4 linked regions of the Drosophila melanogaster genome follow. The protein of the gene in region 3 interacts with the protein of the main gene of each other region in a pairwise test. Each region holds a gene or a part of one and is shown on either strand. Other genes may lie near its edges.

What was found.
Region 1: the proteins of X11L (region 3) and CG12708 interact in a two-hybrid assay, tested with the Drosophila melanogaster proteins (one large-scale study listed by BioGRID).
Region 2: the proteins of X11L (region 3) and CG9795 interact in a two-hybrid assay, tested with the Drosophila melanogaster proteins (one large-scale study listed by BioGRID).
Region 4: the proteins of X11L (region 3) and Dlip2 interact in a two-hybrid assay, tested with the Drosophila melanogaster proteins (one large-scale study listed by BioGRID).

Annotation. Positions count from the first base shown.
Region 1 is NC_004354.4:15,673,926-15,678,275, reverse strand, and holds CG12708 (uncharacterized protein), read right to left. Parts: upstream 2,801-4,350; 5' UTR 2,589-2,800; exon of another isoform or gene 2,473-2,588; intron 1,913-2,472; 5' UTR 1,870-1,912; coding exon 652-1,869; 3' UTR 539-651; downstream 1-538.
Region 2 is NT_033777.3:4,317,822-4,325,719, reverse strand, and holds the start of CG9795 (uncharacterized protein), read right to left. Parts: upstream 6,038-7,898; 5' UTR 5,934-6,037; coding exon 5,830-5,933; intron 3,876-5,829; coding exon 3,673-3,875; intron 3,373-3,672; exon of another isoform or gene 3,225-3,372; intron 2,490-3,224; coding exon 2,098-2,489; intron 2,034-2,097; coding exon 1,831-2,033; intron 1,768-1,830; coding exon 1,556-1,767; intron 1,384-1,555; coding exon 1,210-1,383; intron 1,133-1,209; coding exon 1,048-1,132; intron 991-1,047; coding exon 909-990; intron 848-908; coding exon 231-847; coding exon of another isoform or gene 221-230; exon of another isoform or gene 24-220; coding exon 1-23. Other genes in the region: Syt14 (synaptotagmin 14), read left to right, coding at 7,093-7,138, 7,211-7,372, 7,432-7,764, 7,831-7,898.
Region 3 is NC_004354.4:17,598,056-17,605,624, reverse strand, and holds the start of X11L (X11L), read right to left. Parts: upstream 6,018-7,569; 5' UTR 5,946-6,017; intron 5,635-5,945; exon of another isoform or gene 5,204-5,634; intron 4,853-5,203; 5' UTR 4,720-4,852; coding exon 4,321-4,719; intron 4,246-4,320; coding exon 3,706-4,245; intron 3,644-3,705; coding exon 3,530-3,643; intron 3,474-3,529; coding exon 2,532-3,473; intron 2,470-2,531; coding exon 2,154-2,469; intron 1,930-2,153; coding exon 1,790-1,929; intron 1,652-1,789; coding exon 1,646-1,651; intron 1,555-1,645; coding exon 1,189-1,554; intron 1,131-1,188; coding exon 654-1,130; intron 584-653; coding exon 443-583; intron 388-442; coding exon 316-387; 3' UTR 1-315. Other genes in the region: CG12991 (uncharacterized protein), read right to left, coding at 7,247-7,378, 7,441-7,569.
Region 4 is NT_033777.3:4,644,114-4,647,566, forward strand, and holds Dlip2 (dorsal interacting protein 2), read right to left. Parts: upstream 1,543-3,453; 5' UTR 1,456-1,542; coding exon 1,068-1,455; intron 964-1,067; coding exon 671-963; 3' UTR 536-670; downstream 1-535. Other genes in the region: nuclease slx1, read left to right, coding at 1-311; rpk (ripped pocket), read left to right, coding at 1,951-2,217, 2,463-2,565, 2,633-3,225, 3,282-3,453.

The sequences.
Region 1 (4,350 bases), 1.9 Mb from region 3:
GAATAGTTTCCGCTGAAAGCAGTGGTAAATCGCAGTTTCCCGGGTGAAAGTTAGGCAACTTCCTTTTCCAAAGGTCGCTTTGAGCTAATAACACTCGAATGGAGTTCCGAGCAAGTGATACCTGTTCCATTTCCAGGTACTAGACCTTATCGCGTTAGATCGCACATAACTTGGCTGGCTGCCTGCCCATCGAATTCGTGGGCATTTGAAGCGTAAATAATATTTTTTTTCTTGCGACAATTGTCGCACAACCCCTTCCTTTTAGGGCCCTCATTACCGCCAAGTTCTATGTTCCATGTTGCCGAGGAATCCCCTATAGCTCGCTATCGGAGCATTAAAACGCTCATTAACCAGCTCGCTGTGAGAAAGAAGACCACTTGGGCAGACGGATGAGAAGACCCAGACCCTCTGCTCTGGAGGAATTGCTTTCCACGCACCGCTGAGCTTCAAGAGGTGTTTAGCATAAACTGCTGGTGGTTCCTTGTGGTTTCAACCGAATTATGACAGTGTGCCCCTCAGTGAATTTGGTTCTTTTCGTACATTCTGCATTCCAAATGATTTATTCTGGCCAAAAAATTAAAAAAAAAAAAAACGTTCTTAGGGCTATGAAAAAAATGTCTTATGCCTATGGTATAGGAATATCCTTGAGGATTAGCTTTCTTCCACCAGGGAGAAGCTGAGGCGTCTCTTCGTGGCGTCTCTGGCCTGCACTTGCAACCACATGGCATCCAGCTGACAGGCATCCTCCAGCTCCTCGCCACCCAACTCCAGTCCGCGACTCAGCTGGCAGTGCTCCTCCTCCAGCTCGCAGTCGCTGGTGGAATTGTGCCCACTGTCCGGACTGATGTGGCGCATCTTCTGGGCGGGAGCTGCTATGGATCCGGACCTGGCCGCTGCAAGCAGCTTCTGCGCCGACTGCCTGACGCTGGAGGAGATCTTTGTGGTGATCTTTCGCTTGCGCCGCACCACCCGCTGCCTGCGCAGCTGCAGGGAATGCCGCTTGGCATCCTGCGATTCGGATACGGTGGGCACGGGGGAGCGCACCTCCCGCTCCTCGAAGCCCTCCGCTGGCAGGGAATCCCTCCGCGAGGGCGACTTCCAGTACTCGCACAGATCGCTGGCCGGATCGAAGGCGGGGCGGTAGGTGGGCGATGGCGTCTGGGTGGGGCCGTGCCCGTGTCCGTGGCTGCTCCGGAGCACCTGCTGCCTGAGCCTGTGCCGCTGGCGGAGATGCTGCCTGGGCTGGCGGTGCTGATGCTGGTGCTGTTGCTGTCTGGCGTTGGGCAGCACCTTGCGGTTGCTCTCGAGGATGGCATCGATCATGCGCTCCAGGGTCACATCGCCCATCTGGCTGGAACTGAGCGTATTCTGTTCGCCGGTCGGAGGTGCTGGATGCGGATGCGGATGTGGTAGTGGCTTCTGCTCCAGGTAACGCGGCTTCTCGAAGTAGCTGTCCGGGATGCCCATGCCGCGCAGGGCGATCAGGGAGCCAGGAATGATGGCGGCATTGGGCGAGTACTCCGCCTCGAAGGTGGGCAGTGTGCAGGCGAACTTCAGGGGAACAGCAGTTACACCTCCAGTTGCCCCATTAGCGCCACTTGCTCCTCCCGATGGCGGCGTGGCCAGGATGTTGCTGAGGTCCTTGAGCAGTGGTGTGCGCGCATGGAGGCTCAAGGAGCTGGCCGGCAGTGGCGTGGAGGTCAGCTGGTTCTCCTTGCCTGGCGCCACTCCGATCGACTTCCTCTTGAGTTTGCCACGCAGGGCGTGGAACTCGCTGTAGCTGGAGCCGACTGCCTCGCTGCTGGTGGCCATCACCTCATCCCTGGCCAAGTACGAGGGTCGTGGCTGGTTGACGGCCCACTTGAGCATCTTCTTTGTCTGAAGTTTTAGTTTTTCGGTTTTGTAGTGGGTGCTGCAAGGAAAGAGCAAAGGAATCTGGTTAGGAAGGGGGCGGGTATTTCTGGTTCTGGCATTCCAGAACTTGACTTTCTTAAGGAGCAAATAAATAAAGAGGGCAGCGGCAAAGTTGTCGGGCGAGTTTTCGGCAATTTTGGCGCGCTTTTTCCGCGATAAATGTGCATGTAGACAAACATACATATATACATGCATATGTACATATGTATATGGATGTGTATCGATTTGGCGAAATCAGCGAAGCGGCAAAAATGAAATCAAAAACGAAATCAACCACTCCTCTCACGGACAATTAAATGGACGACGGGCAGCCTTTGGTCTGGACCTTAATAATTTAATTGACTCTGAACTTGATATGCTCAATTATTCTTATGAAATCTTAATGAACTTTTAGGTTGCATTCAAATTTGGCTCTTGAGTGGATACCAAAAAACCAAAAATCACAAGTTATCCGAAAAATTGAATTTTTGTGCATTTATAATTGCATTGATCCAGTTATGTTGGGAATTATTTGAAAAGATATTCATAACCATTAATGAATGAATTCATGAATCTTACAGGCACTTAAGTAATTTATTTTAGGTATATCCATTTATTTTTATGAGCCTTTAGATCTCATTGTACATGACTGCATTTTTAGTTTCAGTCATCTTTAGATGTTCACTTGAATTTACCTTTTTCAGTAGTTTATTTTTTTCGGCACTGATATTTATTTCCAACAGCAAAAAAATAAAATAAATGGTTCGCGGATTTATTTTAAGAATTGATTATTTGGTAGTTTGTATATGTAGTGCTTTTTTTTTGCCAAGTGTTGCGTTTCAACCGTCGCGTTTTTCTGGCAAAGATCGACTGCGTGCGTTCCCTTCGCCGGTTGTTGGTTGACTGACTGGCTAGCCGCCTTAACCGGGAGAAAGCAGAAGGCGACGAACGGACATGTTGCTCATGCGCAGAGGGAAGAGAGCGAGAGCGGAGAGATCAGGCAGTTGAACGGCAGGCACGTTCAACCGGCGGCATTGAAAGCGGGTGGTGGGAGACCACTCGTTGTTATAGTAATTAAAGGTATTTCGCATCTGATATCAGTCCACTTGACTTTAATAACTTATGCAAGATACTTTGCAACATTGATAATAATATAAATTATTTAAATAAGTTGTAATATTCGTATTTCTCACTTTTCCCATGATAACAACTATAACTAAAAGCATACCCTTTCAATACCTTTTATCGAATCTGGTATATATATATATATATATATACAATTACCTCTTCTCGTAGACTCGTACTTCCCAAAACTATCTAATATATTTCTATTTATTAGATAATGCGATACAAATTGAAAAGCAGAAGGCTGCGCTTTGATCTACATTAACGTTATCTTGATGTTCAGTTTTTATAACCGTTTACCGATCGATTTACGATCTGGCAACAGCTGTGCGAATTTTCCACGATCGTGAGATTTTTTATTTGGCCACCGAGAAGGATCATGATCAGTTGGCCAAGGATTCCTACGTGCAACAAGAAAGGGACGGCGCTTGTGAAGCGTGTGAGTGGGACGGAGCATAGTTGGACAGCTGTTCTCATCGCCGCTTGCGCCACAAAACATAATTTTCAATTACCTTTCTCGCAGCGTGTGGCTCCTTTCACCTTGGACTCCTCAAGATACCCTGTGTTTTTTTTGGGATCCTGAGAGTATGCTAGACCTGTGATTGTGTGGGTTACAGGAAGTTAGAACAAAACATTGGGTCTTAAAGGATTTTTAGTTTTTCATTTGATATTGAAAAGACTTTCTGTTGTTGTTTAAACAAGTTCATCGGAATAATGATTACAATTATTTAGTTTAATTGATGAAACTGTTTTGCATCATTTGCCAACTTTTTCTAACATAAATATATAAAAGGTTTAAATAATAGGTATCTTATAGTCGTTAGACCCTAGCAAGGCAATTCTTTCCGATTTTTCCTTCCTTCTCTCACGATTTTCGCCAAGAAAAGGACAACACAAACAGGAACTTTGGGCATTGTACAAATTTGGCCCATTGTTTATGGGACATCGCTGTCCTGTGGAAATTGTTGTGGAAAATTGTGCAATTGTTTTGCAATTTATTGGTTAAAGGGCTCCCGGTCCGTCCTGCTCCTACCTTCCCTCACTTTCCCTCCTGCTTTCTCTGCTGATCTCAAATTTATGATATTTTCGCAGCCGCCGATTGTCCGTTTGAGAAAAATAGAATTAAATCTCAACCGTACATCTGCCCAATTCTTCAGTTTTGGAATCTTTACTATTTGCTTTCGCCATATTATTGCTTGCTAAATTTATTTGACAGTTTTTGTGCAAAAACTAAACACAACTTTTTGTTCGCTGAGGAAGTGCCAGGACCTGCTTTAGCATTTCATATGACACTGCAGTTCCGGACCACCAAGTGCTATAGGATACAATTTA
Region 2 (7,898 bases), on a different chromosome or scaffold from region 3:
GGTCTTCAACCAATTTCTCAAGGCTATAATGTTGCCCAGTATAAATAACCATTGAAAGATAAAAAGGAAGTGTACAATTTGTAAGTTTTAGGATTAGTTACCAAGCTCAGATAGTGATTAAAATGATTAGTAGAATGTGACTAAACGTATATTTAAAACGTCCATGCAAGTGAAAGTTAACGGTGATGGGTTAGTTTAAAAATGTAGAACAGAGCATATACTACACCCACGCAATTATACGTTGATTTGTCTCCTTACGTACGGAGGCCGCCTCGCTGCGCTCCCGCTTTAGATGAGCGTGGTCCTTCTTTCGTGGTAGCAATGGCGGTGGAATTCCCGGATTGATCTGGTCAGAAGCCAGCGCAAAAGAGGGAGGGCTTCTAACTGCTTGCTTTTCTGATTTAGGTATCTGTGAGTGAGGCGTTAAGTTGGAGGGAGATTGATGACCGATGTTCAAACACGATAAACTGTTGTTGCCAGTCAGGGATAATTCTTCTCCGTCCAGTCCTACTTGCTCTACTAACTGCTCCTCTTCTATTTCGTCGTCCTCTTCCAAAGAGTGTGTCGTTTGGATAGGCGTTTGATGCATTGTTCCATAATGAAGGTTTAAAGATTTTGCCCGTCGTATTCCGAGGGCACCGGAACCCACAACTCCGCCGCCACCCCCATTCGGAAATGGCTTTCGGAATCCATGGGATCGGTCATTTTCGTAAATAATGTCGTTACTGATTGGCCGCTGGTTATAACAACCGGCCAGAGCTTGACGAAGGCACTTGTTTTCGGATTCCAGATGTGAGAGGCGTTTGTTAGTCTCCTTTTTCTCCAGTCGCAACTGCATTACTTGGGTCTACAACCGAAATCGAATTTTTAGCTTTTAGCTTTTTATGCACATTTATTTTAGCACTCACCTTTAGATCGTCTATATCTCTCAGAATTCGGACATTTCCCTCGTTTAAGGAACACTGACGTTCTTCAACCATTAATTTTACTCTGAGAACAAAATGTAATCAACACTCTAAATATACTTTTTAATTTTCGACTTCTTACCGACTTAGCAGTGCATCTTCGCGTATGCGCGCTGCCTCCTTCACTTCCCGCACGACATCCGTCATCATTCCTGGAGTGTAGGCGCCTGAAAAATGGGAAGCGAATATAACTTATTACTCACTCCTTTGCATGGCATAGTTGGGGGTAGCGTTTATGTTATACCTGAGTGAAATGTGGGCGCTGGGCTGTGTGTCCCTCCCAATCCACTGCCAAGAATAAGAGGTTGACTTTGTGTGCTTAGCCCGCTTAAGCTATCTCTACGGTGCCGCATGCCCCCAAAGCCTACACCTGCCCAGTGCTGGCTATTAGGGGAGTGCTTTAAAGCTTCGATATCAACTATGATTGTGTTTGCAAGTGCAAGGGAGTACATAGAAAGAGGAAATGGGTGGCAACACATTCTAATTAGCATACGAGTACAAGTAAAATAAATCAGAGATTTGTGTAATTTTGTCGTAATTTGGGAAGCATCGTGACATCTAAACTGGACACAATCCTACAAACCACACACCTTTTGTATTATGCAAATTCCGGCAGATCTTGGAATTGGTGTCGTGCAATATGTTTATTTGTTCCATTAGAGCCGCGAAAAATTTGTTTTGATGTGCCAGATCACAGCCACTGCCATTGTTGTTCACATTTCGACACTCTGGTGTATTCTGGCCACTCAGCTTAGAGTCATTATCGGAGGGGTTCAGTAGGCACGGATCGCTGAACCGAAATCTGTTATCACACGGTAAGTACGGCTCTTTAATAATTCATTACGAATTTATTGTTTTTGCTTACCCCTTGGTAAAGTTGGGATTGCTTTCGCTGCCATCCAGCACATCCGTCGAATTCGGTTCCTGATCGCACCCAAGCCCTTCCGGCCCTCCCATCATGTTGTTCAGGGGAGGCAAGCTTGCAAACTCCTGGCCACCATCACCATAGCTGTTAAGGCTCTGGGGTGGGAAGAGCATCGGATATCGATGGCTAAGAGAGTTCGAATTCTGTAAAAATAAAATAAAGTTGGGTGTGCGTTGTACAAAATATCTTGCAATAGCAACTACTCACGCGCTGTATCCCCAGGCTAAACGGTGTGCCTGGACCCACTCCGTAAGGCTGGGTTCGCTTCGAAAATTCCTGTTGCCTCTGCTGCTGTAGTTGCTGTTTAAGCTGCGGCAGCTGCTGCTGTTGAGTCAAAAACATTTGCTTATGAGCTGGTGCTGTGGGCGGTATGAAGTCCAAAAACTCAGATGAAGAAGACAATTGGGCGTTGGTGGCATCACGTAAACAGCTCTCCAACCAGGCATCAAGGTGATCGTTGGAATAGTTAATATCGGTTCTCTTGACCTCACCGATGTTCGTTTGGTTAAGAGAGGTCGCCGCTGCTTCAGTTTTTTGGGCCAATGGGGAAGGTGGTACGTTACGCGACCTTAGTTTCTTGCGCTTGGTGGCATCCGTAGCTGAAGGAGAATTTAATTTGAGGTCATCTTGACAATTTCAATAGTGCAGGTCCTAGTGTGGACAGATTACGTAGCTAAAGGCTTCACGGCTTTCACTTCCAGCATTGACAAAGTGAAAACTATTACACGAATTCAACAATTCCGGACGTAACGCTCAACTCGGCGGCTAAACTAGAGTTGTCTAAGTTACTTTAGCCCAGAAAAACGTCTGGGGCAATTTGAAGCAATTTTAAGACTATTTTGGTTCGTTTTTCAATTGTTAAAACCAAACGGTTTTCTTTAAGTCAAGCAAATACTTGGTTTTTATAGATTGAGCAAACTCGATGCCCCTTTCGATAAACGGCCAGTAAGGAGAGCAAGGAAATTACTCAGAAATGCTTCTAAATGTTGAGGGATTGTCACCGAACCTTGAAAATATACATATTCTGGATTAGGATCACTAGCCGAGTCGATCTATCAATGTCCGTATGTCCGTCGAGGTCTCGGATACTATAAATTTCATAATAAGAAGCAAGCTTGTTTTGCAACTAACCAAAGCTGACACTCCCACCCCTAATTTGTTGTCATTTGACTGTATATATTGTTAATTTCTATTGATTAAAACTGCCACGCCCACACTATTGAACATTTTCAACTTTTTAATCAGATGTATGTATACTCATATACTTACTTAATATACATATGTACTTTATACTGTAATATTAATTTTAAACAAACAGTATATATTTTGCCCACCTTATATAATTCGGGAGTTAGGTAAATAGTTTCCGTTATTTCAATGATATATCTCGGACAAAGGCATCGTAACAAATAAAATTAAGTCGATTACTGACCGTGAAATCAGTCAGTTTGAATAGATTAAATCTTTTCGTAATTATAGTGGCTAAAAATAAAAGGAACCTTAAGATCAAAAAATGCAATATAACATGTTTATTATATCAAAATTAGTACAACACAGAAGAAACTTAGAGGTTTCTTAACTTTGCAGGGAATTATAAAAGGCGTAATGTACAAAATTAACCTAATTGATTTATTATTGTGTTTTGTATTTATTTAACATTTCACTCACTGATTTGGAATTTAATGTGAATTTTGAGTTTATAATACCAAGTTCTTTAAAATAGACTTTATAAACAACCTAGATTAACGGATATTCAATATTTCGGACGATGATCTCGCTCACCTCTCTGTGTACTGTTCAGACCCGCTCCAGTAGTGACCTTTTTCTGGGCACCGATCCCGCCGTTATTTCCTGGCGTTAAGCAAAAGCTGTTGCCAGCAATCAGCGACGTCACTTCTGCGGGGAAATCCAACCCACCGCCGTTTGTGCTTATCTCCCTCTGGCTGGAAGTTGTCGTTTCCTCCCGCAAAACGCTCATGTTGCTTCTGAAATAGAAAAAATACGGATAGTTAAGTATTGTTAAGCGAGGTTTTTCATTCGTGCGATTCCGCAGTGGACCATAAAAACTGGAAGCACACAGAAATTAACCCACGAAAGACTCGATGTTTGTACCTAGTGCACTTGGGGGAGACAATAAACAGAAGTGAAACAGCAAGAAAAATCCTCAAGTTACGTATGCAATCCCTGGAAACAGCCGTACGATTTCTCCAAACACTTGCACGACCACCGTCACAAACTGTGCTGTGGTTGCAGAATATACAATGTAAAAACATTTAAATGTATGCAGGCACAGACCAGTGGAATGGCACTTAATTGACGAACAATAAACATTTATTCACTTATTGATCTACAAATGAATTTAGACGAATTCACTAACAGATAATAGAATTTTCCAGCGGTAGCCCTAAATCAGCGTTTTGTGTCTATAAAATTGTCAATGAGGTTTAACAGTTTACAATACGATTGATAGTTCAACTAAAAAACCTATTTACCAGTTTTAAGCGTTGTTTCTATTAGTATGTAACATCTAGTAATACGTTCGGGATGAAAATAGGCGGTAGCTTGGATTCAAGATAATTGTATCTACTCCCACTTTAACTGACTAAGAACGACATTGGCAGTAAACTCTGGCCACCAAGATGAACGTCAGTCAAGTATAAAGAGAAAATAAACATTCGCCGCTTTTGGGTCAAGTTTTTTTTTGTTGGTGGGTGGTTGCCAGCAAATATACATACTGCAAGTGAAGACATACCAATAAGCATAAGGTATTTGGCAGCCAATTGAAGTGGCTGGTGCGTAATCTATGCAGTCGAGTTAACCGAAAATTAAGCCGCCAAACCAAACCGGTTTCACCGCTGTGTCTAATGACCTTTCCATTTAACAAATTTTAATGACACCAATAAAGAAAGGCTGCGTTGTCAATGGAGATGGTGACATGGCCCACAGCGACTCCTTCCCGCGATCAATGACTAAATGCACACGGCGACAAAGAGCTGGAAGAGCGAGTCGCTTGGTTTGTTGACCCAATCGAAGAGCACTATACATACATATGTACTTCGATTGCTTGAGCTATATTGTAGCAAATATTTAAACCCTGGCAAAAAATGTGAATTAGATATTGACTTGGCTGGCGATATTGATCAGGAATAGATATACTTGATATGGTCGCAAATATCTCCACCACTGCGTTAAAACCTTCTAACTGAAATTAATATACATTCTGCAAGGGTATGAAGAAATTAGGATTGACAGAAATGGAGTTGACTTGAAAGTTGAATACTAGCTTAAAAGCTCAAAAGACCGGGAAACGACATTGTAAGTTTTTGTAGAAATTCCAAGCATCTACAGCTGGGATTCCCACGCCATTGCTCACTGGTCCACTGCAAAAACTTGCTTACAATAGAATATTTTCTAGAAGCTCTGCGAGGATATTTTATATATTTGGAAGTACACATATATACCTAACGAAAAATGCCTTGGTTGTTAGATTCAAGGTTAGACAAACTTTTATTTTCATACAAAAGCGTTATATTATATGTATTTAGACTGCACTTTGCCAGATTCCAGTTCGGCTTCGTGCTGCTTTGTGTCGAAAAGTTTTGACACGCGCTCAACTCTGGTCTGGGCTCTTGGTACGGGAAATCGAGTTTTCAAATCCCTGTTCCACCCCCATCCCACCCTCTCGATTTTCATTGTGTGCGAGTGACTGCTGCGAAATGAAAAGCGAAACGACATAAGATGACGTCGTAGACTGGCTTTCTTCCTCCTGCTAGCTCCACCAGCAATAAAGAAACGAAGTAATCGACGCCAAGGAGGTGGTATCACGGTACCACCGCGGTATTCCGCTTTGTGGGGGGCACTGAGCACTATATTTAGCTGTTTAGCCATAATCATATTATCAGAAGCGTCTCAGCGGAATTTGGCACACACGGCACTCACACTTGCCCAGTGGCATTGGCCATCCAAAATTTACTTGCGTCACAATTGCGGATTAAATGTATTGGACTTTCAAGCACGGCGTGGGCGCGGTCACGGTTTTGCATACGGTGTTCTGACAGGCGGAAACATTCAGTTTGAGCAGCGACAAAAAATTAAGCGCACAACGGAACTGAGCCAATTCATTAGGCATTTATTTTAGAGGTGGGCAATCTGCGATGTGCCGTCAAAGCGATGACTTTCGCTGGAACAGCGATTGTTGCGATTATCGATACCTGCTGCTCGGAGTGTTATCTGCTATCGAATAACAGCGCATTTCATGTATGTAAGCATGAGTAGCTCTAAAAATTTTGACCTAAATTATAAGGCTCTTTTTTAAACAACCGGACAATTACCTGAATGGAGCATACAATGTGCATTAATTCTGATGCACTAATTCCGCTTTTCTTAATTATTTGGTTCAAATTTTTGAACATCAATAACAGGCAAACGGTCTTGGTCTTAACATTTTATGAAACCGTGGCTACGACTAACGTTTAAACCTTCGAATGCATACGACACGGAGAGAATTTTTATTCGAGACATTCTAAACAATTACAATTCAAGAAATCACAGCACAGCACAACCAATAAAAAAGAATCCCGTTTCTAAGTTTTCAGCTTAAATCATCCTCCCAAACACAAAAAAATAAGCAACAGTTGTTACTGCGATGCAACTGTCGAAACGGAGCTTTTCCGAGCCCTGTGTGTACACACACTGGGGGTGGAGGGATTAAGCTCCAAAGTGCTTGCTTTGAAGCAGTTTTTCCATCGAGTTTAAGGCAGCTCATCCTAATTCAGTTGAATTAAATCCTGAGCCGTTTGATTTTTATTTCTGAATCTCTCGTTGCATGATTCGCAGTTTTGGGATCGTGCCTTCAAGAAATCGAAAGTGATTAATAGGATAGAACAGTATAGTTGTTCCTTCTATAATTTGTTTTACGATTTTGCAACCAAATCTCAGATGAACGGTTCCGAAATACGGAAGGGCCAAAAAAACGGGTAATTCGGAGTACACCAGCTTCCAAACGACTTTTTTGCTTTGATCCCTAGTCGTTGTCTTGCGAAAAATCGATTCCAGTTATCCTGCGACGCTGTGCTGTCAAATTCCTGAGCTTTTGCTTTCACGCTGCAGTGAGAATAATTTTTAGTGACTTGACTTGTGGTCCGGGTGCAATGAGTTGCGAGTAGTAGACTCGTGTTCGCCAGGATCCTCGCATGAGCCAAGATGATTGTTACCTCCGCTTCTGGACTGGATAGCACTCCGACGCTCGGTACGTAAAAATGTATATGCACCCCACAAACCACACCATTCTGACCTGAGCCGTGACTGTTAAATCTTTCAGGCACCATCGAGGTGACCACTTTGCTGGGCGCCTTTTTCGGCGTCCTCGTTCTACTGCTCCTGTTGTTTCTTTTCATCAGTCGCAAGTGCTGTTTTCACTACCGCCATGCCATCAACTGCTGCGACGAGCGCCACCTTGCAGTCAAGTGTGTGCAGAAGATCAGTGAGTACCGTGTTTCGTGGGGATTGGGGCTGACTGGCTAACTTTTAAGTATCCCGCAGCCCGCAAAAGGCGTTACGAGAACACCAGCTCCGACTCGGAGGAAGACATCTTGAGGCGCCTGCGGTGGCATCAACAGCACCAACTGGGCGAGAAGCCTGGCGGATACGGGCTGGGAATCAGCCAGGCTAATCCGCTGACGGCGCAGAGCTTCAACTACCACCAAGCAGGCGCAAGTGCCGACCTGCAGCGTGTGACGGTGTCGCGTGACCCCTTAGCCATCGCCGAGCGTGGCAAGGTTGGAATCCCGTCATCGCACAGTGAGTGCAGCTCGAACGATTCCATGGAGGTCTCCGTGGACAGTCACACAGGCGTCCTGACGGGTCTGAGCAAAGGTAAGCAAGGCGGGGTCAGGGCCAGCTAATTGACAGCCGTTGCAATGAGTCACGACCTTTTGACAGCCACAACCACAGTTCCCCACCCGGCGACAGCCTTCCGCAATCCGTGTGGAGAACACCGGGCCAAGACC
Region 3 (7,569 bases):
GTAGCATTTTCTGTAACTCCAGTAATAGTAATCTCTCTATTGCAGTTGTGGTCGCTGTGGACACCTGAACGATTTGACGACGAACAATTAATCTCATTGTAGACTTAATACATTTGCAATTCATTTAAATTAACTACAATTATGCTTGCAATGTGAATACATAAAGACAAATAATCAATGAACAATTTAAGACTAAACAAATTCCAATTTAAGGTCTCTTTGCGAATCGATGTAACTTTAAGCTGGTCAAGTTGCAGTTGACGAATTTATAGTTTTTCGATTCCAGCGTAGGCGTGTGAACAGTTGCATATATATTTATATATAGATTGGCGTCTCTTGACCGGTGAGCAAACGAAACATGGACGTGGGCATTGTCTTCATCAGGATCTGATTGGAAAGGTATTGTTAATATAAGAATAACGAATTTAAAAACGCGTCATACCTCGCCCACTGAGGATGACAACAGCTTGACAATGGTATCGTGTGGCACGGCCACAACGCTCTGGTTGTTAATCTCAATGATGCGGTGGCCTACGCGTACTCCACCCCGCTCAGCGATTCCTCCACGCAAAAGACTGCAGATCTGCATTAAATAAATACATATGATTAGAAGGATTAGAATAAGAAGAATAAATTCAGCATTTTATAATTACCACGCCATTTTGAACACTAAAACCCAACTGGAACAGCGCCTTGGGACGCAGGATCTTAACCTCGACGACAGGCGGACAGGGCACAACGGTGAACTTGACGGCAGTTTGGTTCTTGGCATTGCGTATGTAGCTCTGGCAGGTGGACAGCGGCAGTCCCACCAGGCTCATGCCGTTAATGGCGATCAGCTGGTCACCGATGTTCAGCTGGCCGCAGCGGGCAGCTGCTCCTGAACTCATCAGGTTGGCAATCACCACGGTGGGCAGCATGGATCCCCAGCCACTCTCTACGATCACCACGCCTAGGATCTCGCCTTTCGCCTTCGGCACAACTACCTCCTTTTGCAGCTCCTTTTTGGCAAAGATCTCCAGCTCATCACCGAAAATCTCCTGACTGTTGAGCACCTCCTGGTAGTCCATCTCTTTGGCCAGACTCTCGTTTTCGATGCCGTTCGCCTTCAGGAACTCCATGTAGGCCACCTGGTTAGGTTTTGATTGTTAATTATACGTGCCAATAATATTATTAATATTCGCGTACCTGGAAGGCCTGTCCAATGGACTGAGCTATGAACTGCGCCTCATCGCTTTCGAACACGTGGCAGATCATTTTGGGCGTGCGATTGTGCTTGCTGAGTGGCTCTTTGGGGGGCGACTCCTCCTCGCCTATGCCCGGAGTGGGAACATCACCTAATGGACTGGTGATCGATGGATCCACAACACTATTCGGTACGAATCGACGACGAGCCATCAGCACAACCAGATCGCCAATGTCAGCTATATAGGATATAGTACGCAGCGCATGGTCCATCATGATCTCCTTGAGATCCGTGTTAAGCACCATTATCTTTTCGGTTGATATGAACAGGTCCACTTCAGTGCTCGGCTGACTTTCGCCCTCGGGAGCCTGGTAAAAAAATAGCAAATCATATATTATATAATGCATTTAATTCTTAATGCTATCATTTGACGACTGAAAGGGGCTAACGAACGCTTACCAAAGCCTATCGAGAGGAATGCGCAGCAGGGAACGAGAAAAGCGAACGAGAAAGTTTTTAGACACACACATAGAGCATAACCTAGCGGGGTTTCCTTGAATGGATGTGCTTTCGTGTGCATCACCAGGTTTTCACTTCACTTACCTTGATCCTGGAAACGGCCTCCTCGGCCTGCATCATTCTGGTCGACTTGGTCGGCTGACCCTCGCAGACAAGTTGAGTGGATCCAAGGTATCTGGCCCGAAACAACACGCCCTCAATGAGAACTTTGGGTTCCAAGAGACCTAAGAACGAACATTATTTAAATTAGTTACGAAGTGCGTTAATGGTCTTCATTTCTGATTGTTAATACACATAAGGGTAGTTTAATAAACCTAAACATCTGCTGGGTAACAGAGACTTACGTGATGTCAGCATTAAATAGATTTGAATTGCAGCGTGAAATGTTGAATCGGTTTCCATATCAGTAAACGAACAACAAGGGGCGTTGACAACTGTGCTAACTTACCCTCTTTGTTCCGCGATTTGGCCTTCTTGTCCGAGTTGGCAGAGTCCTTCAGGGATTTAATAGAGCCCGTGGGACTTTTGGTGAACTGCAGTTTTTCCGGCGAGCTTATGGAGATGTCGGTCGTGCCCACAATCTGACAGATGTCCGGCGAATTGGGTGTCAACGAGGTGCCGATGCCTTGTCGAATGGTGGCCGTCGAGTAGGTTTGCGGCTTGCTATTATTCATAGGATTCGGATTGTTGTTGTCCGACGTGCCATTTAGATGCCCATTGCTGGCAATATCCGTGCCCTCATTGGCATTGTTATCAGCCAGGCTCTGTAAAATTATTATTTCGTAATTATTTTGAGCTGATATCTCTGTAAGTTTGCATTCCTCACCTGATCGGCGAAGAAATCCTGCTCATCGTGCCTCTGCTGACCCAATAGACGATCTGTTTCAAGGTCGGTGTCTGGTTCCTCATCCGCCGCCGCACCTTGGGCCGTCGAGATCGTCGTCCCTTTGCGTGGAACCCAAACCGGTGAATCTGGATCCGTGGGCAGCACTTCGTCACAGAATTTTAGTTTTTCAGGCTGCGTTTTAGCACGCTGCAAGGCGGAACGTATCTCCTTCATGGCCTCCTGGATTTCCGAAGCAGCCTGCGATGGCAAAGATCCTCCCGCAGTTACTGGTGTCACCCCCAGTCCTGATCCCGCTGACTTCTCTGTGTGAGTACCTCCCAAAGCTGCTGCATAAACCGCACCGTAGTGACTGTCCAGTGGATTATCAGCATCTGGGACCATGGTCATGGATTCACTTGCATCGGCGATCTCGATTTGGGGCGGCGATGATGGAGGCGGAGCCGGGGGCATGGGCAGTGAGGCGAAGTCGCTTATCAGCGCCGATTGCGAGGCATCTGTGGTCAATGTGGCCAAGCTGGCGCTCATCACATTGTAGTCGTTCTCCAGCCGCTCGCCATTACCGTTGTGCTCGTGGACGGGCTGAGATTGGGACGATTGCTGCTTGTCACACACCACGGATACGTTGTTCTCCGTGTCGGAGGCGTGGCCACTGCTCAGGCCATCTTCTAGGACAGGCATGCTCGTATACAGTTTACCAAAATCCGTGGGGCAGTTAATGTCGTTAGACAGACTGTCCAAATCACCGCAATTCGAATCGTAATCCGTCGTCTCGGGAGACAGGGTAAAGTTTCGGGAGTGTCGGCGCAGATTTGCCTCCAGTTCGGTGTCCGCCAAATCGCCGCTGCTTCGGCTATTCGAATCAATGTACAGCTCAATATCATTATGCTCCTGGTAGGCCGTCGATGGATTCTGGTCACTGGGCTAGAAATCGAACAATCGTTAGCTATTTTAATGAATTTCATTTCGTTATGACTCACTGGCTTTTTAGTAGGCGACCGGTGAACCATGTAGAGCTCATCTTTAGGTATTCTCGCCAACCGCTGTCCTATATATGCCTGCTCCATGGGCGTGGCTGGGTACTCTTGTGGCTGCTAGTCAATCAAAATGCAATATTAAATGGGTTTCTAGGCTTCTTGGAAGTAGTAGTACTCACCGAGCTAGCGACATCGTCTCCACTTTCCGTGGTGTAATCCGTGTACCGCTTTTCGTCCTCCGGATTCGCCTTGAAGAACTCCTCCAGCACCTTTCTGGTCTCTGAGAATTCGTACAGGTAGTCGAAAGTAGGTGTTTTCTCGCGAAGCGTCCCGGAACGCTCTTCCTCGTGGTCGACCAAATCGATAAGGTTGCCCACGGATGCTTTAGCTGCAGCAGTTGCATTATTAGCGACACTGGTGGTGGGCGAAACTCTTTGCGGGAAACCCGGCGGACGTTTTCTAGGACCACCCATGGTAATGGTATTTGTATTCGGTTGACTTCCAAATCGTCGCGGTGAACCCTCGTACTCGGCTATTGGCAGCTGTCCAATCATTTTGGTCACCTTGAGGACATCCTCATTGCTGCCTGGACGCTGGCCACTCGATGCCTTGTTCATCCAGTTTGTGTCAATGTCGTCGAACACCACGATCTCACCATCACGCAGGCACTGACCGTCCGCCTTGCCCACATCCGTTGGTGAGCCGGGGCTGGCCAATCCCTTAAAGAAAAAGCAGAAAAATCTCATTGTAGTGACTGAAACTACGCCTCTAAGTAATTCTCCAAGTTAAATTACCTGTGGCAGGACATCCCGTGTCTCAAACTGGCTGCCCGGACTCCTACCCAGTCGGATTTGATGCAACTGCGGTCGCTGGTAGTAATAGCTGCCAGAATCGCGTCCCGCATTCGAACCATAGCTGCCGGATCCCTGAACACCTCCGCCCGATGGCGAAAGACCCTGCAGCGGAACGTAGGACAGCTCGCCATTGAGATCCGGCGAATTGAGCACCGTGCTGGCTGGCGTCACATTTGGGCTACGGGTTCGCATCTCCCACACATAACGTTCCTGCTGCTGCTGCTGCTGCTGGTGCTGATGCGATTGCTGCTGCTGCGCCTGCTGGCCAAAGTTCATCTGTATGTGCGGTGGATTGACCATGGACTCGTTACTGCTGTCACTGCAGGAGTTTGAGTTCATGGCTGCACCAACAACTTTGATTCTCCAGGTATGAGGGACTGCGGCTTCGATACTACTACAACTACTGCTCTAGTGCTGCTGCTGCTGCATCCGCTGCTGCTGCTGCGATTGCTGCCTCACTGTGGGCCACTGCCTGGGGGAGAATGGATGATTAGTCGATGATCTAAGGCGGCAATGATTCACTGCGCTGCAGCTCAGCCCAGAAAAAAATCAGGGACAGGTGGTCGTGTCGATGACGTACTTTTGCTGGATACCTTGCCGCTGCGTACTATATATTTAAATCGACATAGAAATACCTGGATTACCGGGTGTGTTTAGACATACGCGATACGGACAACAGGAACCAGCACAGTAAAATGCCAATCTATAAAATTGCTGATTTGTTATTTTTGGACCTAAGCCTATTGCTTTAAATTGGGTTTGCCCCAATCATTCCCTAATCATTCTCATGTGTATTTGTATCTTATTACAGGTCCTAGCTCACCTCGTTAAATGTAATTGAGTTTAGCTAATAATAAGTATTCCATTGTTTCGAGCTTCGGTTTGTTGCTGCACTGGTTTGGTAACCTCTGGTTGTGGTGACCCCCTGGCTGGCCAGCGCAATCAATGCGGGCAATTAACCCACTATTGCCTGTCCATGTGTCTATATGTGGACACCTTTTTTAGGGCCCCCCGCCGCGGTTGCCACTGACCGAGCTTGCGAGTTTCCGAGTTCCGGAGCTACCGTGTCCGTGGTTGATTGCGCACACGTAAACTTGGCCTCCAAAAGTCCTCGCGCAGGCAAAACAAACGCAGGAAGCTGCAGCCAGACACAACAACCACCCACGCGAAGGTTGAAGGATGTGTGGTGGGTGGTGCAAGTGGGTGGTGCCAGGGGGCGATGGTGGTGCTGGTGCTAGCCCTTTGTTGTCGCCGATTGTTGCAATCACTCAGCACTTTGGAGGCGTGGGAAAAAAACAAACTCCCCGTTACCGTTATGTGTATCTATCCATGTGCGTATTGTTAAAAATCAATAGATTTGTCGTATTTTTTTTGCAGCTCCTTTGCTTTTCGTTTCGTTATTTTTTGGTGGGGGCACCGCACAACACAACACACTCATGCACACACTCGTCGCATAACGACGCACACACGCAGCGCACTCGAGCAACAACAACTGAAACGGCGGCAACAACAACACGGCCAGCAAATAGGCACGAAAACAACACCTGTCGCGGTTTTATATTTACCATTTAATTCATATTTATTGCACTACTCCTTCAGCAACTCGATTGGCGCAGAGCGATTGGCAGCAATATAGATAGTCTCTGCTAGAACATCGATGGCCTATCGATTGCTATCGACAGCGAACAGCCGGACAGTGTTGAGCAGCGTTAGAGGGTACTATTCAATTCGTACCTAAGTAGGTGCTAAAAGCCATTTTAAACATATTTAAATATGTTTCCTTCTCCACCCCAGCTTTACTTGACTTTACCCTTTCTCCTGTACCTTGCCCTAATTACGCGGTACCGTCTACTTTTCCAACACTCCTTGTACGATGAATTTCCCGCGCCAATTGATAACACTTTTTCGAATAATATCAGTTTAGCATTTAATGATTAATGTACTCCATCTGGGTTTTGTTTTTCGTTTAATATTTGCAACATTCGAACGGATAGTACAAGTACAAGTGGTGTATAAAAGTTCGATGAGCAAAATTGACAAGGATTGTGTGGCAGTAAACAGTTTTTCTTGTTCTTCGTTAGCTTATAATTCGTTTTATATATTTGTGTATATTGAAACAATTTCTTGCAGTCTTGCCAGAATTTCAGTGATAATAATTCGTTCGTTCAAGATTTATCAAGCAATTAAAATTTTAACAGCAAGTTTTGTTTTTCCATCGAAAACTTAATGAATTAAGTTAGGAATTAGACACGGATTATTTTCCCAAAAATTCTAGCAACACCGGTGTGTGGTTGTGTGATGTTTTCTTTTAATTGTTGTTTGCTTGCTTCGCTTTTAATACATTAATTACAGTGTAAAGTTGCTCTATAGGCTAAACTGGAAGGAATGATTGCATTTAATTGTTGGACACAAAGTTGGAAACTTAATAAATAGTGTTTTCTAAAATTAGACTTGGGTTGGGAAGGGCGATAAAATAGTCAACAATATAAATAAGGTTTAATAATTAACTAACAGATACGAGTACAATGGGTTGGTTTACAAAAATCGGGTTAGTGGGGAAGTTGTTAGGGAAAGGCTTTAACTAACAGTCAAGGCCAACAAAAACATTGCGCACTTAGGATCTACACGTACACTAAACATAATTTTGGTAGTTTTGGGCTTAAACTAGTTGCTCGTTTGGTTGCCTAACATTAGTAAATACATACACGCGCTTAAAAACTACGCTACTTAATGATTATGATGTCTGGTTGTCAAATCAGGAATGGAATTTTAACAGCGAAACGAAACAGAATCGTAATCGAAATCGAACCAAAGACGTACAATAAATGATAGAGGGGATTGGACTTCCAACGGGGAAGGCCGGAGATTAAAGCTTTGTATGTTTGACCGTATCCGTCCAGTAGTTCTGTATTGTCATCGCCTCCAGCGAATTGAGAAACGAGTCGTTGTCCAGGCTGTACATCTCATCCGAATTGTCCTGCAAAATCAAGAGAGAGAACTATTTAGTGCATAGGACATTCAAGCGCCACTGGCAATTGGTCAACGAATCCTTACACTCACCCGCATCGTGCTATCATCGATATAGACACTCGAGTCTGGTTCGCTGAGCGCCTGCGGTTTGTTCAGATACCGACGACGGTACAGTACGATCCCAATGGTGCCCACTGTGCAGCAGACGCCGAAGACAGT
Region 4 (3,453 bases), on a different chromosome or scaffold from region 3:
AGTGCCACCTTTGTATGCAGGAAATGGAGCAACCGGAGAAATCCCGCCTGGGATGCACAAATCAAATGTGTCGGCTGACATGCCATATGGTGTGCCTGGCCAATTACCTTCTGGGCGACGAGCCAGGTCATTACATCCCAGTTGGAGGAGAGTGTCCGCTTTGTGAGACTCGTCTCAGCTGGGCAGCACTGCTGCAGCGCAAACGTCTTCTTTTGGGCGTGCCTGAAGAACTGCAGGATCATGACGAGGATCTGAGCGACGACATTGATGTAGACAGCGATATTGAAGATACCCCGGAGCTCAGCGATTAGTTGAGGACCCATTTCATTTTATTTACAAATGCTAAGGTATCGCATAAGCTAAAAGTATCTAGGCAAACACCATCTTAATGCGCTTGTAAAAGTAAACATTTTAACTAAATACTTTAAAAATATTTCCAATAGATAATACTGAGTATAATTTAGATTTGTTTGCGGTATTTAAGGTTTAAACGAAAGAAATTAAATGCTGAAATTTAAAGTGTAACAAATTAATTAATATTTATCAGTATTTATTCTCCAAGTATAATAAAATAAATTATTAGGTTTGTTTCCCAATTCGTCAGGTGCTTTTAAACTAAGATAACGTTCAGTAAATTGACAGAAGAACAACATGTATTACATTGATAAAGTTAAAGGTCAAGGTGGGAAATATGTTTCTTAATGCTTCTTAAAGCATTTTTATAGTCTTGCAAAAGTTTAGCCATTTTCCGCTTTTCCTGCAAGTAATACTCCATAGACATTTGTACGTACTCCTGTCCCTTGAAGTTGAACACAGACACTTCAGTAGTATCTATATTGTCGGGTTCTGCTCTAACTCGGCCTGCATTCGGATTGGGTTCCATTTTCACAGCTTCCTTTAGAGCAATGACAATGGAAGATTCCTTCGGGCGCTTCTGCGGTGGACTATCGTGGACTGCGTCAACTGAAAATAATGTTAAAGAAGTTAATAAAGCATTAAGATGCAACACCGACATGATGAATCCAACCCGCTCTATTTCGAAGGCCCGGTGGATTTATAGTACTTACTTGTAGTAACTGAGGTAGTGTCCACATTGTTGATGCTGAGCTCATCGTCGCTCAGGTTTATATAGTAGCTCTCATGCGAAGTGGAAGCCACTTGTTGGGGCTCCTCCTCCGGCTTGCTACTGCTTTCCTCGTACGGAAACGGCACTGCCTCGCCGACGAGGAGCGTTCGGTTCTTAGAGGAGGATATGAACTTGCGGTCAAAGTGAAGGGAGCACATAAAAAGCTGGCTATGGGGAATCTTTGGATGCACTTGGCCGTTTTCGTGCCAGATTCTCGCCCTTTGCGGTTGTTTGGGAAAGGCAAACAGGGTTCTTCCTTTGGTCAGCGCGTTTTCGTGGCCTACGTAATAGTATTCACAGTCCTTGTACGCACAAGACCTTGTCGCCATTTTAAATAAATTTAAATAATTACGAATCTTAATAATTAAGTAAACAGTACAAATCGTGTACGAAGCATTCGTTATCGATACATATCGAGGCGTAACGAGGATTTGGATTTTCAACTCGTTTCCACTTTTCTGCGTTTTGAAATATTTTTCTTTGGAGTTTTAATTTTTAACAACACAGGCGAATGTGCAAATAATGAATTGGGATAACGTGTTAACAATGACAATTAATAAAGTTGCAGCAAATATGTACCTGTTTTTCGTTTTTGTTAATTTCAACAAAATTTAATTTAATTCGGAAGTAAAATATATCGCTAAATTGTCACCATCCGAACGTTTTTTTGCAAGTTCTCTCCAAGATCCTGTCAATCTGGCAGGTCTGCCAAGAAACGGGAAAAAATTCTCGTTTTGCCATTTGTCTTTCACGTTGTTTTCGTCTCCAACCCACATGGATTACTTGAAGCTGTGTTTGTGCGCGTCAAGAATGGAATAGACACCATGACCATATCGGATTCGGAACTCGACAGCAGCAAGGGCATCGACCTGACATTCAGGAGGAGAAGGAAGGCAGGTTCCGTCGCCTGCGAAGGATTTATCACCACGTACCATGAATACTGCAGGAACACTTCCATACATGGTGTCCAATATCTTGGCGAGCAGGAGCGCCCCTTCCGCGAGCGCATCTTTTGGCTGTTCGTGTTCCTGATCTCGATCTACGGCTGCTCCACGCTGATTCAAAGTGCCTACACCAAGTGGACCGAAACGGTGCGAGTCCCTAGTAGAACATACCATACATACATATGTATATACGTAGCATCAGTAAAAGCTCTCTGAAACAATAGCATTTAAAGTACAGATCCTTCAAAATTGCGATGTATTATGCGATATATTATGCACCCTAACTGTTATGTTTTATAAATATAAGAACACTACAGGGTCTTCTGTAAAATGAAAAGTGCTCTTGCTGCCTTCAGCCGACAACAAAACTAATATTTTGCGTTTTTTTAAAGCCTGTGATCGTTAGCTTCGCGGAAAAATCGACCCCCGTGTGGAACATCCCGTTTCCGGCGGTCACAGTTTGCTCGGAGACCAAAAGGGTGCTAAAGCAGAAAGGTTTGTTATTCGGGAAGCCTCTAGTTGTACAGACTATGAATATTAACATGTAACCTTTGTCTGACAGGAAAAGAGACCACTTATGCTGATCTTTACAGCCAGTTCAGCGAAGATATGCGAGCTTCGCGGGTGTTTAGGCCCGAAAACGTTAGTGCCCTTGAGATGGAGGAGTTCCGCACCCTGCTGCACGTATGCAACACGCAGATCATTGAAGAGGACATACCCTTGATAGCCGGCGATGACTTGGACTACTTTGATGTTCTGCAGCGGATGCTGCCCCAGTTTGATCGGTACTTCTTTTACTGCCGCTGGCTTAGTCGTTTCGGCGAGTGCGAGACCTTCTTCCGAAAGACTCTTACGGAGGAGGGCATCTGCTATACGTTCAATGGGCTGAGAGCCACTGAGATATACCGGGACGACACCTATCAGTATCAACACAGCGGGGAGCCCCTGGAAATGGAAAATATTAGCTCGCAGCATACGGCCTGGACTCTGGAAACGGGCTATGCACTGGACAGCGATGTGGAGACCTTTCCGGCTCGTGTCTTAAGTGCCGGAGCGCGATCTGGCATTTTCTTGGCCCTCCAAAGCTTTAAGCAGGAGGTGGACTACGCCTGTCGAGGACCTGTGCAGGGATTTAAGGTGGGAAAATTTGAAAACGTAGCTGTTTGCTTTTTCTTGCTCCAATATGTGTCTACAGTAATGCCAATCTACAGGTACTGCTTCATGCGCCCGATGACGTCCCGCAGGTTTCCAAACAGTTTGTGCGCATTCCCATGGGCAAGGAGGTGCTGATCGCAGTGAAGCCCAACATGATCACCATGTCGTCGGGAATAGCAGAGTACCATCCAGTTCGGAGGCAGTGCTTCCTCAGCCACGAGCGGTCGC